Linked DNA regions of Oryzias latipes. The protein of the gene in region 2 purifies or fractionates together with the protein of the main gene of each other region. This does not show direct contact. Links are inferred from orthologs where the notes say so. Each region holds a gene or a part of one and is shown on either strand. Other genes may lie near its edges.

Evidence for each region. Proteins that work in one complex are often made in the same cells at the same time.
Region 1: the proteins of nfya (region 2) and histone acetyltransferase p300 purify together in Homo sapiens (affinity purification with western blotting, with the first as the bait; 3 studies listed by BioGRID). This does not show direct contact. The link is inferred for Oryzias latipes from reciprocal best matches to the Homo sapiens genes NFYA and EP300.

What each region holds. Positions count from the first base shown.
Region 1 is NC_019866.2:19,374,690-19,380,316, forward strand, and holds the start of histone acetyltransferase p300, read right to left. Parts: upstream 4,233-5,627; 5' UTR 2,488-4,232; coding exon 2,394-2,487; intron 749-2,393; coding exon 141-748; intron 1-140. UniProt on the Homo sapiens protein: Functions as a histone acetyltransferase and regulates transcription via chromatin remodeling. Acetylates all four core histones in nucleosomes. Histone acetylation gives an epigenetic tag for transcriptional activation.
Region 2 is NC_019865.2:10,743,799-10,748,864, reverse strand, and holds the end of nfya (nuclear transcription factor Y subunit alpha), read right to left. Parts: intron 4,769-5,066; coding exon 4,640-4,768; intron 4,422-4,639; coding exon 4,319-4,421; intron 4,220-4,318; coding exon 4,068-4,219; intron 3,650-4,067; coding exon 3,476-3,649; intron 3,204-3,475; coding exon 3,093-3,203; intron 2,980-3,092; coding exon 2,923-2,979; 3' UTR 1,769-2,922; downstream 1-1,768. UniProt on the Homo sapiens protein: Component of the sequence-specific heterotrimeric transcription factor (NF-Y) which specifically recognizes a 5'-CCAAT-3' box motif found in the promoters of its target genes.

The sequences.
Region 1 (5,627 bases), on a different chromosome or scaffold from region 2:
ATTTTGTATAGATTTTTTAAATTTCCCTTAAACAACATTTCACATATACTAGAGACTCATTTATGCAGAGGAGAGCGGTGTGCAGAAGCTGGATTTAACAGTGGAGTGAGTTCGGTGTGTTCTGCTGCGACTGTGCTCACCTTGTTTAGCGCTCCCGGCTGCTGAGGTCTCATTCCCGGTTGAACGCCGCCTCCGACCGACTGACCCCCCTGTTGCTGCTGCAAATTCTCCGTCAACAGATTACCACTGGTACCCATACCAGCATTTCCGAGGAAGCCCATTCTAGGCGAGCCGTTCAGAACCTGAGCTCCCATAAGCCCTTGATGTTGCTGTCCAGTGTTGCCGTTTTGGGCGCCCATCAAGGCAGCTGCCCGACTGAGCGCCTGCACGCCTCCCACCATTCCAACCTGCTGTGTTAATCCAGGTTGTTGCTGCTGGCCCTGAGGGTGCATGCCTTGAGGTCCACTAGAAGAAACATTTATGTTCCCCATCATTGCCATGGAGGGCCCAGATGGTGCACTGCTGGAGGTAGGACCGCCCTGTTGAGCCGGTGCTCCCGCACGCAAAAGCTCAGACAGCTGTTTGTGTTTCGCAGCCGCATCCTGGCCACTCCCACCAATCCCGACTCCAAGCCCCCCAAGACTGGTATGGAGCTGACTGGCATCCCCTCCATTTGTCAACCCCAGGTCTGAAGAATTGATGAGCTCATCTGGGAGGTCATGCTCCAGATCAAAGAGGGAACCAAAATCTACCCAAGAAAACAGAAAAATCTCAATGATGACCAAAAGAAAACATTTCAAATCAATTTAAAAACAAGAAATAATCTCTTCATTTTCTCCCTTTAGCCTCTATAATAAATCAGCGGCAGCCTCTCATAACCTGCACTAATCTCCTGGGTGTCTGTTTGTGGTTTGGTGCAGTTCCATACATGAAGAGCAAACGCAGTGTGGACAAGGTGGGAAGCCGCAGAAGGTAAACACTCCACTACCTGGATAGTTTATACAGTTATTTGGTACAGGGGCGCGAAAATGTAAAAAGTTCGAGAAATTCAACACGCAGGAAGACGCTGTAAGATCAAATATCTAGACGACCCCAAAATGTAACCAAAGGGGGAAAAAAGTTTCCTAACGTAGAGCCTGAACTCAAACTTCACAAATAAAACGGCACACTTCTGACTTTCAACCTGACCTAAAACAGAGTCCAAATGAGCGTGTTCATTAAAGATCCGGAATTTAATGTGCATTATTTCAGGGTAAATAAGAGGAAAAAAAACAGATGTGTATAAGTAAAAATCTAAGTGTAACCAAGCGTTGTAGTAACAAAATGCACTGAGGAGAAATTATGCCATTCTACTAAAGTTTATTTTCTTTGTAGGGTTAAGTGCTAACTATTAGCATTCTGGAAATGAAACATAGTGTCATTTTTAAAACAAACAAAAAAAATAAGGAGCACCGTTTTAGTTTAGACAATGGGAGGCAACAGAAAATTTTAAGCGTTAAATCAATTTAGTTCGAGAAAATAAAAAACAGACAAACTTACAGGAATTACAACTTTGATTTCTGCGATTTTTGTTTTTTTATTATAAAACTGTAAAAGGTATTAATGGCTACTTTTGGTAGCTGCTGAACCATCACCCAAGTTAATGAAGTGACGAACAATAGCTAGCTTAACAATAGTTCTGCATCCATAAGAGTATCCATGGAAAAACGTATTTCCAGGACATGAAATGTGCTTTTCAGCTTAAAAAAAACAAACAAAGAGTTTGGTGATGACTGAAAGGCGAGCTTTAACAAGGGAGAATAATATGCAACAAACCATTTCCTATTTTCTTTACAGAGTTCAGCTGAGCCGCTCCGGCGGTGGGGGTGTCTTTTTAAGCTAGTTAGCTCGCCCGCTCGCCTCGGTTGCAGTTACTTTCCCTTAAAGCTGCTTCGGAAATGCCTGCTATTTGTCTGGAAATTCGTCGGGTATGTCGTATGGGTTTCATTTGAAGTGCACGCGCTCCAATTCTCCCACTCAAGTCCCCTTTAAAGTGGTCAAATATCTGAAAGCGAACTGATGTGTCTTGACTCCCATTGTTTGGAAGTGAATCTTTTAGTTGGGGCTAGTTAGCCTGTTGAGGCTAACATCAAAACAGAACTGCTGGGAAGTTGCTCCCGCTGCACAACTGCATTGCTTTTCTCCGGATCTGCCTTTAGACACTTTCACAGACAAACCGCAAGCACATAAATATGTAAACAGATATGAGGACAGCAGAGAGTTAAACCAAACTAAGTTGCTGTGCCACTTTTTTGGGGACTTAACTACCGACTACGCGCGTGACACGAAAAGCCCCCCGGAAAGATGCTAGTTTAGTATCTTAATTTTCTTCATCATGTGTGCATGCAACATACCGTTTCCATCACTGGCAGAGACAGACAGCGCTGGAGAGGATAGCTTGGGCCTCTTAGCTGAAGGCGGGCCGGACTCCAGGACATTATCGGCCATATTTTTTACGAATAAAAATAAGAATAAAACTCTGTAGATCCACCGAGGGCGAGTGTGTTCCCTTTATTCCGGCTCCCTTTAGTTTTTAAGTGTTTCTGATCGTTCCCCCACCGCTCGGGGGGACGGTAGGGGAGAGGACGGCTCTGTTGGAGTCTCTCTCTCTCAGTTCTCCCCCTCGGCTTGTACCTCTCTGCAGATATCAGTCCCCCCTCCCCTGTCGGAGATTTTGTTTCTTCACAGATTTGAACAGGAGGAGGTGGGAAGGTGGAGTCAGCGAAAAGGCAAACGTGCGGCCCTCTGACAACCTCATGTAGCCTCCTGTGCGTCCCAGGAGCCGTCCACTGAGCCACTCTCAGTCCTGCGGGCCATCATCCACACAGAAACCCCCCCCACCAGTAAAGGATCCACAACTGTTTTGGCGACAGTCAAGTGTGTGTGTGTGTGTATGTGTGCGTGGGGGGTATCCCCTCGATAACTTCTGGAGAACTCCTGCAGGGGCTTCACAAATCCACTGTTAGCATCTCTCATCGGACAACTGGAAATTCCTTTAGTCCTCCAAAGTAAACGGCAGCGTTGAGTCAAAAAAGGAGAAAAAGATGGGGGGTGGGGGGCACCTGCATCCACTCAAATAAAAATCAAATCCATCCCATAGTTCTGCTCGTTCAGCTGTGCACTTAGTGACCATGCAAGGCACAGAAAAAAAGCAGGTATTGCACATTTGGTTGATGCAACCCCAACCAGAGCTGTCTTTTGCAGTCAGATTGCAAAGATTTAAAAAATCTCCCTGAATAAAAAAACAAAAAACACTTTTTCTTCCTCAATTCTTGAAGGCAATCATCTAATGAGCGATCAGCGGGACAGCTCGATTGATCCAGGCAGTTTCATTTGGAAGATCTGCTTTGTGCTCCTTCCCTCTCGGATGAAAAAAGCCGGATAAAAATTGTCACTTTTCTTTATTTTTTTTCTGCCCCCCCTGGTTTAAAAGGACACCTCGGCCACGCGTGGACAAGCAGAAAGCAGAGCAAAGGACGAAACGAGGATTTTCAGGCAAATGACAGTAAAGATCACCCGACAAGATGATGGCTTCTTCTTCTTCAGATGACCATAAACACCTCCCTGAAATATTTCGGAGCTGACCAAAATCCGCTCTGGACTCTTTTGTGATGGTGATTGCCCCCCCTTCGTGCTGGTCCTGGCAATTGCCCCCTTCTCTTTAAACCCGTCTTTCTTTCTTTCCACCTCTCCCGTCTGCCCGGCAGCAATTTATTTATATAATTGTCTATGCGGGCTCGATCCTTCCTCCGCGGCGAACACATTCTGAAATTTCATGTTGATGTTTTCTCCTTTTCGCAGGTTTTTTCCTCGTAGCTCCCTTCTTCTTCCGCCTCTCCTCCCCGTCGCCGTTCCGCAAACACCCCCTTCCTTGGATTTTTCGGCGTATTTCCTTCTCATGCATACATTTATGTTCCTAAATACATATGCCGCCGAGCGGTTTTCTGCCTCCACGGACGTCTTATCTTTTTGGTCGTGATGCTTTCCCCTCCGCCGGAAAGCACGGAAAGGACTCGGCTGCTCTCGCTTCCCCCAGCGGTTCCCGGAGCGGCTGCCGTCGGCTGCCGGAGTCGCTCCTTCTATCGGTTATCTCCTGTTTCTGACGGTCTGTCCGCACAACAAAATGGCGGCTTGTTGTTTCTACTCTGATACGGGGGGAGGGTTTGAGGTACGGCTACATTAGGCGTGAAGGGGAGGAGGGAAGGAGGAAGGAAGGGAAGAAGAGGAGAGGCTGTCTTCGTGAGTGTTCGGGAGTGTCCGGAAGAGGTCCACTAGCGGATCGGTGGTCATCGAATTCAATCTGCGGGGGCCAGCGGCGCCCCGCTTCTCTGCTTTAAGTCCAAAGCAAGAGGAGTTCCGCCGCCGACTCACCATTTTTTACCCCCAAAACGGTTTAAAACTACAACTTTGACGACCCCTCCTCCAATTACTTTAGTAAAAACTGTTTATTTGACTCAAACTATAACTCACTTGCCGGTATTTGAAAATAAAAGCCTAAAATAATTAGAAAAAACACGACACCTGGCATACATTTTAGACATTTTGGACATCTGATGATTAAAAAAAAACAGGTTTACACATGTTAAAACACAATCAGATAAATTCCAAATTGGAGTTTGAGAGTTTGATACCCACTCCAAGTAAAACCGTGTTTTTAACGCGTCCTTTCGGCATTTGCCCCATGATGGAAGACATATATAAAGAAAATGAGGATAAAACCAGTGTTTCTCAGTATTTCTTTATTCTAATCGTTGTAAAGGAGAAGCAGACAAAAAATGCCTTTAATATAACTTTGGGGTGGTGAGGGGCTGTAAGCCAGCTAGAGAAGGTGTAAACAAATGGATGATGGGAAATGAAATCAGACTCACTCCCACCCACTAATCAGAGGTAAATTTCTAATGAACTCTCACCGTTCTCCAGAAACTGACGACACTGTTTTTTTTGTTTTTTTTTTGTCTAAAACTGGTAGAATAAACAGACCACTGGGAATTCACTACAATAGATCAAAAGACAAGACGAGTGGGACTTTAAGATAGCAACATTTTTCATAATTCTTTTTCATAAGGTCTCATATTGTTATAATAAGCATGCTTATTATAACAAAAAACTGTCCTGTACTCCTCTGCAATGTTAATATTTGATGAGGAAAATAATGGCAGTTTGCCTTTAAGTGGCAAGCATCCATCCATCCATCCCTTTCAGGGTTACTGGAGCCTATCCCAGTTGCTGTTGGGTGAAGGGGTTACACCCAGGACAGATCACCAGTCCGTGGAGGGTGCTGTGATTTTCAATCATGTGTCCTCCCCCCCCCCCCCCCCCCCCCCCACACACACATATTTAATATCGGAATGTCTGCAAGTTCTCCAAAATAATTGACTTTGTCTTTTGGGCTCTACCTTGAGTTTTCACCTCAGTAAATTATGCCTCTATCTCTAAAATATCTACCATGAGCCATTCCTCTGATGGATTAATTCCTGATCCTATCCATATTTGTCAATCACAAAGAGAGTCTCAACATCTTCATCTCTACTACCTCCAGCTCTCCTTCTTGTCTCTTTCACAGAGCTTCTAAACTAACAGCATGGCTG
Region 2 (5,066 bases):
GAAGAAAACAGAATTTTTACACAAACAAAGCACGCACAAATAGAAGATGTTCAGTGTTTCTATTAGTGGAGCAAAACTGTGGAACAGTACAGAAGCAGAAATAAAGCAATGTCCAAACATAAACATGTTTAAAATAGGATTTAAAAAAAAGGTTTTAAAACGATATTCAAATATATCGGATGGACATATGATGTATATATATATGTAAGTATACATATGTACATTAAATGTATGGGTATATTATTTTTATCTTAATATGCGCATAGTATTTTTCAATTGTAGATTATTCTCAGTATTTATGACAGGACTCTAGAAAAATTATTATATTTTATAGCCACATAGATTATATTATAAAACATTTTATATAAATAAAGAAGCTGCTTGCTAATGTAGTTAATATTGATGAGGAATAGGAGGTGAGTTTATATAAGTAAATACTTCTTCTCACTCCTTTTGGAATATGTATAGTTGTATAATTGTTCATAACACATGTGTTCATGTTTTTTCTGTTTGTGTTTATAATAATCTTTTTTCTCTCGAGTGTGAACGTTTTCTTTATTTTCTCCTTTTTTTTTAAATGTGTGTTTTTTATGTATTCGAAATAAACTTGTTTCCATTCCATTCGACACTGTCATCCTGCACAAGTTCTGAGTAATCTAATATATATTTGAAATATGACGATTTTGCAAAAATCCAGATTTTTGTCAATAATTGTATCCAAGACAGGCTGTATTCTATTTGCAAGAATCAAATATTCCAAAGAATTCCAATTTCTTATAATCACAATTCAATAAGGTGATCGGTCGCCAACTAAGAAAAGAGGATCCTTTCTAGGTTTAGGAATCAAGGTAATCAGTCCTTGAGATAAAGTAGGAAGGAGCGCATATTTGTCGATGCTTTCCTTAAAAACCTTTTGTAAAAATAGAGCTTAATTGTCAGAAAACTGTTTATAGAAAGTGACAATAAGGTCGTCTGTTCCAGGAGGTTTCTTTATTTTTAAATATATTTCATAGCATCTGTGACCTCATTCAAAGAAATGACCTCATCACAACAGACACTGTTTGCTTCACTCACTTGAGTAATGTTACTGACAGAGTTAAGAAAGGTAAGGGAAGTTGGAAGAATAAAACTTACAATAAAAATCAGAACAATATTTTGTCATAGTATTTTTATCATCATAAATAACCTCATTCATATTTAATTGTAAAATAGAATTAATATTGGACTGGTGTTTCTCAAGCCTGAAAAAATAGTCTGAGTTCTGCTCTCCTTCAATCCACCTCCTCCTAAATCAATAGATCAATCGATAAATGCTCCTTCAGCTTTTTGCTTATGTCATCTAACTTGTGCTGTAAATCTATTAAAGCTGTCTTGTCTGTTTCATCAAAGACCTTTGTTGGTTAAGATGTAAGAAGTGCAGTCTTGTATTACTTCTGTCTCATCAGCTTTTCTTTTTTTTCGTCAAGTCAGAGCTATATTTTCTAAAATAAAATTGACAAGTTCGTATTTCAAAAGTTCCCAATTGTTGCAGAATGAGGGTTCAGCTAGTGTTTATTACAATAAATTGTTAAGCAATGAATTTCAAAAATCACTTCCGCATGCTCAAGGATGGTGCAGTTCAATTTCCAAAATAAGACTTTAGAGCCTGAGGCTTTAGGATAACACCACATATCCCATAATGCATCTTGACCAATCAACGTGTCCCTGTAACTGTGGTGCCCACAACCCCGAGGTGAATTTTTGATTAACTCCTGCAGAAACTATGTTGTAGAAAATGACACATTTGTTTAATTTTTTAGCTAAAAATGGCAAAATGATAAATAAAAGACCACTGGAAACGCTTTTAAAATAGATCGAAAAGATATTTGAAGTGGGACTTTAAAGGCCAAACATATTTTGTTTCATTACAAAACAAAAAAAGGTGTACCGGTACATTTATTCACAGTAGTAGTCCTCACTAAAGAAATAAAGTATAAAATATATTATGAAATAACCACAAACAGCCTTTAATAACTTAATAAAAATGTTATTTTTAGGATTCATGTCCACTCCTCTTTCATTATAAAAAATAAAATTGCACAACTGCATCTGATGGCAATTAAAAAAAAACTATCTACAATGAAAAGACCAAACAATGAACCAACAGATGAAAAGAAAAGACCAAAATCAGACTAATACAAGGATAGAAAACTGTATTTTTTTTCCTTAAAAAAAACAACTTACCAACTGCATAAAAAGCATGCACAGAACTGGGGTTTGTTTTATTCACAGTGGTGAAGAAAAAACAAACATATTGTCTTTATCTACATATTACTACCAAACATCGGGTTCAACACAGCAGATAATGGGATCCAACCACACAAAACATGAGCTGATATAACTACATTATAAAGGGCATCACAAAAATGGTACAGAACAGCAGTGTAGAGAAAATACTTGTGTTTCCAACAATAAGAAAACTGCTGTCGTTTGCAAATACAAAAAAAGGAGGGGAAATTTTCAGCAGGAAATAACATTTTGAATTTCCTACCATTAGACCAAAATTTGACAGAGTATGGCTTCATGGCAGTAATTTAATCTCCATGAATGTTGAGCAACAAATCCATGTTCCATTATCGTCCAAACAGGTCCTTAACTAAACTAAAAACTGGTCTTTGGAGCTCGGCAGTGAAAGCTGAGCATGATGATGCCCTTCCGTTTTAATTTCAATACCAGAAAAGTCCACTGGGTGAGCAACTGCACAACCAGATCCCTGGAAGACCAGTCAAAAGGATGAGAGACACAAGGAAAACCCTGGTGAGGTATTTGGTGCAGCGGGGCAGAAAGAAGAACAGATGACATGAAGTGTGCCAGATGTCCACTGGGATGGAGGATCTCTGGCAGGGTAGAGTTCAGCTGAAAGGGTTGATGGCGGCGATGGTTCTATGACACCCGGATCATCTGAGCTACTGTCTCATCTGGTGGAGACTGAGAAAGATCCTGCTCCAGCACCAACAGAGCAAATACATACATCCATGAATAAAAATCAGCAGTAAAAGCTAAGCTACTCTCACAGGTACTTCATTAAGCTTTGAAAAAACATCTGATCTTACCTGCGATAAGCCCAATGCATCTTCTTTGTCCTTCGGGGAGAAGAAACGGCCTCCATCTCCTCGCTTGCGTTGCATAGCGTGACGATGGCGAGACTCGTGTAGATACTTCTGCTAACAAAATATTTCTTTTAATAATGACATTCAGAAACATTTACCAATTACCAAGTTAGCTACGGGTTTTTCTCCTCGCTTTCTGATTCTTTCTTGAAATACGCTAAGCTAATGACCGAGCTTTGTGATTGATGATCTAGAGATTTACATGAAGTCATCACAAAGAGCCTCTTTTACGCTTTAGGTTCCTCCTAAAATGTGTCAACTTCACTTATTGACAAGTGTTGTTTGTTAATACAAACTAATAATCTAGAATGACAAATTTTACAAACCCTCCTCTCTTTGGGGATCTTGCCCTCAGCCTCCAGTTTGGCTCGGGCCTGTCTTCGCTTCAAAATACGATGGTACTGTTTGGCATTGACATACAGAGGCTCCTCCTCCAGCATCTCAGCCCCTGGCAGGGGGATCCGCTGCATTGTGGGAACTCCTCCACTTCCAGGAACCATCTACAAAAAAGCCCCAAAGAAAGCATACAGTGTTTAGACCTCTATATCTTCATAGTGTATGCTCACACACACAGCTGTTGAGTTGGATAGATGTACATAGATGTCTATGGTGAATGAATTAAACTTCACATGAAAACAGAGAAGAAGAGTGTGTTGACTGAATGTCTTTAGTTAGTTTTAAAAAAGGTTGTTTATTCCTGGAGAGTAAAAATGCTTCTGCCGGTACTCGTGCTCTACAAGAGGTGGTTAGTGCAAACCTATAAATTAGTAACCCTTGAATTATCAAGATTATGTTGCCAACATTACAATCACAATCTAAAAGATCCACTGACCCACCTCGCACCCTGGTGTTAGTCTAGAAAAAGGAAAGAGGGGGCAGGGGGGGTATGATGTTGGGTACCACGGCATAGGGTCTTACCATGACCATTCCACCTGCATTGACCATGTTGCCGGAGACGGGCAGGGTGACGGTCACAGTGCCTTGGCCACTGTTGGTAGTGTTTGTGTTGGCACCCCCTGCCTGTACAATCTGAGCTCCTGCCAGGCTGGCAGCTGGAATTGTTATCATTCCTGCACGACAAAAGAATAATCATCTCATGTGAGACATGCTGTTCAATGCTGCTGCGGTCTATAAAGCTTTAAAAATAGAGTGGCGGAGGCTGGGCTCACCCTGCTGCAGGACAGATCCATCTGTGTTGACCGGCTGGTACACGATGGTCTGTCCATCAGCTGTCTGTGCCACCTGTTGACCCTGCACACTGATCTGCTGCCCCTGTATCAGAGGAGAGGTCAAGGAAAATAAATCTTACTAATAAAATTCCCTCCAAAAATGATCAGCATATATTTTTTTAATGATGTCTAACTGCTTGACCTGGAATTCAATTCTGTCAATATCCAACTTAAACAAATGCCCTGAAGCATAAGTCAGATTTGGACCAACAGATAAGCAGTTAGAGTGTTAAGTTGAGTTGATGAGAGTTGATGAGTTACCTGGTTCTGTCCGGCTGTGATGGCTGTCTGCGGTTGCTGAATGATGATTTGCTGTTGACCCTGCTGACCCTGGAGCTGAAGAGTCTGGCCACCTTGCAACTGTATCTGACCTGGCTGTACCAGCTGGATCTACACACAGACACGTTTTCCAGGGCACAGCAGCACAGGAGAAGAAAATTCAGCGATTCCATACTGTCAACACCTCGCTGTAATATGATTACATATGTTTAAAGGGCAAATGAGTTGGTCTGCGGAAGAAATATCTATTACACAGACCCCTGCAGTAATGTCACACGCAAGGGGTCTGTTTTTAACTATTATCAAGTGAAGTTAGAAGGTTGTCACTGCAAGCTTTCCTTAAACTAAAACCATTACTTGGATTCTCCTTTACCAATAGAGTCTCACGTTTCTAAGACTAAGATGTTCA